2 linked regions of the Rattus norvegicus genome follow. The protein of the gene in region 2 interacts with the protein of the main gene of each other region in a pairwise test. Links are inferred from orthologs where the notes say so. Each region holds a gene or a part of one and is shown on either strand. Other genes may lie near its edges.

Region 1 (3,341 bases), on a different chromosome or scaffold from region 2:
CAGTGCTCTAGCTGAGCCGATTTGTGGGCAGAATAACCAAAGCTTAGAAACGGAAAAAGCCTCTTCAGCCTGCACTCTCATTTTTAAGATCCTTCCTAGTTCCCATTATGTCTGTGATGTCTTTAAACATGGCCTAGCAACCAGAGAGGATTGTTACTGTGCCACTGAGGCAGGAAGTGGGTGCAGAGCTGAACTCATATCTAAGTCCACTGCTGACCGTGTGGCCTTGTGAGTTACTCAGCTCATGAAGCTCTGTGTACAGGATTAGTGAGGTGATGGGCACAGTAACTCATACATAATCATTGATCACAGTAGTCTCATTTCCCTTCAACCTGGCAGCTCAGCACCTGTTGATGGCCTTTAAGCACGGCTGGGGGTGGAGCCAGGGATGGCTCAATGGTTAAGCACCTGCTGCCCTTCCAGAGACCCAGGTTTGATTTCCTGCACTTACGTGGCAGCTAATAACTAATTCCAGAGGATCCAGTGTCCCCTTCTGACATCAGGCAGTCGTGTGTATACATAGATACACGTGGGAAAATCACTCATGCCCAGAAATTATTTAAAACATGATAGTAATAAGGAAAAGAAAAAAAGAATTGCTGACGAAGGAGCCTCAGAAGCGCGGGAAAGGAAAAGCTGGAGACAGTAGTTTTCTAAGCCGATCCTTGCACAGGGATCCTGAACAGAGGAGACCGTGTGGTCAGACCCCCGTGGCTCCTCAGCACCCTTGTGACACAGCGGACCCCAGCCTCATTATGCAGCTGAAGCAGCGAACACGTCAGGGCTCCTCTGTCTCATACCACTAGTGAAATGGGACCTGGATCAAATCTGGATCCTAAGTCCCTATTAAATCTTTCCTCACAACGTCTTAAAGCCCTGGATGTTCCAATGTGTACTTAGACTGCCTGAGGGGGTGGAGGGGGAACATTTCCCAGTCTTACCGGACCACAGAATGCTAATACTCAGTAGCGGTCTCAGGAGCACTGTCCCACGTGAGAACAAAACTCTCCAATTCATGTGTGGTGGGCAAAGGACAGGGACCATAGAAAGCAGACGTCACACACACACTGATTCCTGCTCGTCAGACTCACCGGAAATGGCATCAGGCTCAGGCTTGCTTGCAGGCAGGTTCTCCACTGAGGTGATGCTGCCCTCTGCCCCCACGCCACAGCCCCGAGGCCCCATGGCATTGGAGCGCCGCCGCTCGTGTATCTCATCCGAGATCCTCTCCAGGCTCTTCAGGGCTGCCTTATACTCGCCTTTCGCCAGGGCCAGCTTGGCCTGAAGGTCATCCACTGTCTTCTTCAGTTGCTGAATTGGAAGATGGGGGACGCGGTAAGCCAAAGTGGCCCTGGAGGGGCTGCACGTGATTACAACACAAAGAACTTCCTGAGACACCCAAGACAATTGACTAAAGGGTCCAATGGCTTTCACTCATGGCTACCCATTCAACGGGAAGAAAATCTCTACCAGCTCAAGACACCAGTCCATGTGAACTAAATGCTAATAAAGTGCAGCCCTCACGGAAGGAACAGTAGACAGAAGTGCTGCAGCCTCCTCACTTGGTCCCCAGTAGAAGTTCCTGGCCCCATATCTGAATTACCTGTAGGACCATTTACAAGGCAGACTGCTGACCCAACCCCCAAAGGTTCTGACAGGGTGGGGAGCCTGAGAACTCTACCAGAACGCTCTTAGGGCATCTCGTCTTGGGCACTCACACCGAGACCTAATAAAGGTTGGTACAATACAACAAGCAGTTGGGTGAGAGTGAACGCTGATAGCTCCAGACAGCGCACAACACCCAAGACCACTCTGAGAACAAAAGTCTAGGTTTATGTTTCTCCATCCTCCCCTCACAGCACACGGGTCATTTAAGGCCTGTTACCGAGTTAAAGTTGAGTTTTAGAGGAGGGGTGGAGATGGAAATATTAGTGACAAATACAAGGTCCCACATACCTCGAGCTGCACGTAGTACTTGGCCTTTAGCTCAAAATAAGGCCTGTAGAAGACAGGAGAAATCCTGTAAGAACATGATCTCGTGAATTCGAGATCCATCCACTACAGCTAGCCAGGTCATTCAGGATTTAGGCTGTGGCAGTGACAAACTCCAGCAGAGCTAGTGGCTTACCCAAGGCTCAGTGACAGGGACCCCACAGACTTACTTGGACTTGTTGATGGCTCGCTTGAGTTTCTTCTCCAGCTGCCGCATGCGGCCCATGGCGGCATTGTACCTGGCCGCTGTCTCCTTGTGCACCAGCTCGCTCCGTGTCTTGGTCTGCTCAGCCTCCATGACCTTCCAAACAACAGCAGAGCCAAGGCAGGTCAAGCCCAGGACAGCTCCTGGCTTACACTGCCTATACTCACTTCATTTAACAACAAGAAGTCCCTTGAGTAAATCAACAGGAAGACTGAGATTAAATTTCAATAAAATAGGGTCTGCTTCCTTCCTGATCTGTTCTGGAAAACCAGCGACTAGGAAATAGAAAAATAAAAAACGAGAAATTTTTTAAATAGCTTCACCCAATACCTATGTTTTTCTGCTCAGGCCTGCAGAAGCTATGGGAACCCTGGGCCCAGTCTGATGGACAGGCAAGTGGCCGTCAGCACTAAGAGCTGTCTAACTAACAGAACAGCAAGACCAGGCATAGCGCAGAAAAGCCAGCGGGCAGCCTTTCCCCAAAGTCCTCAGATCAGCTAGGCACAGGAAATCCAGCGTGCAAAGGGGTCAGACTTTACACTTAAATCAGTTAAAATTAAAATGAAACAAAGTCGGTCAAATTAGAGTTTGAGGTTTGAAAAAATTTCACCATCAAGAGAAAGGCAGAGTTCTGGAGGGAAAACGGTGCTAGCCCTATTGGTAAACTAACAGCAGGAGGCCCGAGTGCCCCACACCAAGGAGAGGTGTGGGACATGCTGTTCTCCCTGTCTTTATGAAGCACCAGGTTAATGCCTCATCTGAGAGAACCCACACAACTGCTTTCCCTGTCTTCTACTCACAGCCACACTGTTCTACACAACTAGAGGAATGGCATGGAGGTTAGGCAAGGTCACCAGATCAGTCTCTGTTAACGGGAGGAACACGAGGGGCTCAGTGGACCATAGTCCTTGGCCCCTCTGTTAGAGACCCACAGGACAACTTTAGAAACTGAGGGTAAAGAAGCACACAGGTCGCCGGCATCCTCTGACCTCTGACCTCTGACCTAGTCTGAGACAAGCCTGCAGGAGCTGTGCATAGCAGACAGAGACGGAGGGGACTGTCCTTTGGATCCAGATTATGAGTGAGTCCCAGAGGCTGCACACTGAGCTACAGAGTCTGGTTTATACACTCCTCAATGTTGGAT
Region 2 (3,674 bases):
ATATTTCCGTTGTTGAGGTGATAACGCCTAGAGCAGTCCATTCTTACCTTCCCCATCTGTTGCGAACTTCTGGGCAGAGGCATTCACACCTCTCACACGTTCTGCTTGGATTGCAATGTCTGCTTCAACCAGGGCATGCTTCTGTAACAAGTCTTCAACACCGAGCAAGTGTTTGCCATAGTCCTGAGACAGCAATAGCACCTGTGCACAAATGGGACAGAAAGGACACCCGTGAATACAACTGACTCCAGTGTGTCAGCGTCTTTGGACGAGCAGATTTAGCATCCTGGCCGACCTTTCCTCTGATCTGTCACTAGCCAACTTGGGCAAGACCATCCAAGTAAGTCAGAACACAACAAACGTGAGGCCTAGATCAGGAGAGACACAATGAACTAAGGATAACGTATCTTGGCAAAAGCAAATAAAATCCACATTAAAAAAACACAGAATAAAAGGGGGGAGGGTCCCTTAGAGCCTTTATGCTAATTATATAATCAATAGGAAAATCTACTTATCTTGGCATCTACTTGTATGCCAACAAGGAGACCATGGTCAGGTAAACATCATCATTTTGAACTTACTGAAATTTTCTTGTTCTTCATTCAACTTGCAAATTTTTCTCCCATCTACCAATCCACAACACTCTCAGATAAAATTTCTATTTCATTCTTGACAATTCTCAGGAAACTATGTTACCCTGAATTATAGTGCATATTATGATTCATAAAGTGAAAATCACATCTTTGATATACTTTATGAATACTTCTATTTTAAGAGGTCAAAGATCAAACCTAGTAGCATTTGTACATGTGGGGCAATAGCAGAGAGAAACTGAATCATCAGCTGACCTTGTCTCTCTGTCACCATAGCTCAAGAGGCAAGGAACAGGTAAAGACTGACATCCAGGGGCAGAGTTCTCTTACATAAGAAACACAGTGTTCTGAGAGAAAAGAGGATGGTCTAAACATTATTCTCTTCTGTTCTTAGGGATAAAACCCTTCAAGCTCAGAAACTGCTCAATAAAGATGGTGCCCTATGGTCTGCAACAAAAGAAACCAGCAGGCACAGGGCTGTGACACAATGGCTGACTTTAGGCTCAGAAGTGCCAGGGATAGAGGAGAAAGCACAAAGCAGCACCACAGCCATTACCATTCAGCCCCACAGCAACCTGTACATATCTTAGCACAACCCCAGCTTCCGAGAGCCACAAGGCAAGCGTTAGTATTGGCTCCATAAAAAGACGAAGAAGTTGGTTTGAAGAAGAGGAAGTGATACGGCAACAAGATCTGAATTCTGGCTTCCTAGCTCCTGGCCTGCACTTACCACCACCCTCCCATCTGCATACATGATCCTAGAACAGTATCACCGCTACTCAGACCACTAAACATACTAACAATGAAAAGGAAAATCACAATGATTCTCTACGTTGGTATGCACTTAACAGTGATCGAAATCACGGCAACAGATCTGGACTATATAAAGTGGTCTTTTTCACAACTTTTCCATGCCACTCATCTCATTAGGTCATGAGCTAGGCAGCTTAAAAGCACTGTGGTCTCAGTCTGGCTTTGCAAAAGAATGCAGGAGACAAAGGGGACCAGTGCCACCACAAAGAAAAGGTGTGACAGAATCAGCTCTGGCCTCCCTGCTTTCTTTTGGTCAAACGTTACCTTCATTTCATCCATCCAGTCCATAATATAAAGCATTTCCTGGAATATCTTTTGCAGTCCCAGGTTCATCTCAAGACGCTGCCTCCTGGCCCTGAGCAGTTCCAGCAAGTACTCCCAGAGGCGGATGACATTGTCCTTCCTCGCTGTGATGCGCTTGATGTCATGATAGCTCTCTGCTTCAAGCTCCCTGGCCACAGCCACCACAGCCTGCACTCGCTCTTCATACGCCGCAATGTCAGTCTCGATGGCCTCATGTTTTTTGGTGGCGGCCTCAACTGCAGGAAGGTCAAATCCAAAGTTGTCCTACAGAGACAGAGAACAAAAAGAAACATAAGTCACCTAAACGGGGGTGGGGTGGGGAGATGGCAGGCCTGGGGTGGGTAACATAGTACGTAAGCTGACTCTGCCTCTTGAGTCTCCTATGCCACTAGTTTCTCACTGCCCTAGGACCTTACAAACTTCTGGTTGAGTTCAGATGTGTTCCTAACAGTATATAAGCAGCTTCTCACTTTACAGAGCACCGACCACCTGACTTAAGATACTGAAGTTGGTAGGACTTTGTCAAGCCAAGGGAAAGTAAGTTGGCTCTTGTATTTCATGACCAGTGTCATGCCCTGAGGACGGTTGGTCAAACGCTGAGGGACAAGCATGAGGGGAACTTTTAAAGCTTACAGGAATGTGAATGATTCATAGTGACAGGCTCTGAACAAACTGCTGGAGCTCCTTCCAAGTCTATGACAAGTTAGACAAACAGACAAGAAAGTTTATCAGAAATTTTAAACATCCTCTTTGTGCAAAGGGAAGTGACTGGCTGGTCAGCAACTTCACAATACTGGATATTAAGTGCTATCCTGAGCTCCAAGGCCTCTTGGGGAGGGCTAGTGCTTCTTGGCTACCTCAGAAAACCTTGCATTAGTAATTTAGACAGAACCTGAGAGACAAGACGCTGGTTTTCGCTCAGCCATGTCTCTCTCATAGCTGCCTTGCGATCGAATCTGCGGGCAAGTTGTTCCAGTTTTTCCTGCCGTATGAGCTCATTCCGCAGAGCCAGTTCTCTCTCATGTTCTGCTTTTTCCAGTCTTTCCCAGGCCTGCAGAAGTTAAAAAAAACAAAAACAAAAAAAACCAAAAACAACAAAAAACAAAACAAAACAAAACAAAACAAAACAAAACAAAACATGGTTTCCGGCAACATTTAAGGAGCTGTCCTTGACTACAGCAACAGCTAGTATTTGTCCAAAGGATCACAGGACTTGAAAGGGAAATCCCATTTCCACCCTTGAGAAAAAGATCTTTTTCTCCCTCAGCATAGCCTCATGGGAACACCCTCTTGTCAAAGCTCAAAGATCCTGCTATAAACTTGGAAACAAACACTTTCTGGTTAAGGGGCAACACAATATCTTCTAAGTAGCTCTCATCACATAAAAGAAATAAACTGACTTTCCTCAGGGCAAATATATTAGGAATCTCTCATTCACTCCACCCAGAGCCATATTTTAAAAAATTCACATGCCTGAATTTTTCTTTCAAAATCTCCGGAAAATGTCTTACTTAATGTTTTTTAAAAAATGCCAATCACTGGACGCTCAAAGGATGCAAATGTATCAAAGGATACAAATGAACAGTTCTACATTTTTTTTCTAGTTTGTATTTGGAAATAATAGCCACAGTACAAGTCTGTACTTGCAGGCGTACGAGGCACAACAATGGAAACAGCCTGTCTAACAACTTCTCAGATGGAGAGAAACAACGGCTATGTCCACAACCTGCAGACATTCCAAGCATGTGGAATCAGATTTCCAGTTTCTTTCTATGCAACAGGAAGACATCTGAATTGAGTGCTTCACACAGATGAGGATTAAAACTGAGTATCTGGGTAACAAGGTAAACCGTGAGCCAAGGCTGTTAACGAAGTCTTAACACTGCATGCAGAGCTCCAGTGGACTGACCTATTATTACAACTCTTTGCTGGACCTTCTGCCACTCATGTCATCTACAGAGGGAT

Evidence for each region.
Region 1: the proteins of Sptbn1 (region 2) and Sh3bp5 interact in a two-hybrid assay, tested with the Homo sapiens proteins (2 studies listed by BioGRID and IntAct). The link is inferred for Rattus norvegicus from reciprocal best matches to the Homo sapiens genes SPTBN1 and SH3BP5.

The regions. Positions count from the first base shown.
Region 1 is NC_086034.1:6,592,409-6,595,749, forward strand, and holds part of Sh3bp5 (SH3 domain-binding protein 5), read right to left. Parts: intron 2,294-3,341; coding exon 2,163-2,293; intron 2,000-2,162; coding exon 1,957-1,999; intron 1,312-1,956; coding exon 1,092-1,311; intron 1-1,091. UniProt on the Homo sapiens protein: Functions as a guanine nucleotide exchange factor (GEF) with specificity for RAB11A and RAB25. Inhibits the auto- and transphosphorylation activity of BTK. Plays a negative regulatory role in BTK-related cytoplasmic signaling in B-cells.
Region 2 is NC_086032.1:108,085,231-108,088,904, forward strand, and holds part of Sptbn1 (spectrin beta chain, non-erythrocytic 1), read right to left. Parts: intron 2,761-3,674; coding exon 2,602-2,760; intron 1,974-2,601; coding exon 1,671-1,973; intron 202-1,670; coding exon 48-201; intron 1-47. UniProt on the Homo sapiens protein: Fodrin, which seems to be involved in secretion, interacts with calmodulin in a calcium-dependent manner and is thus candidate for the calcium-dependent movement of the cytoskeleton at the membrane.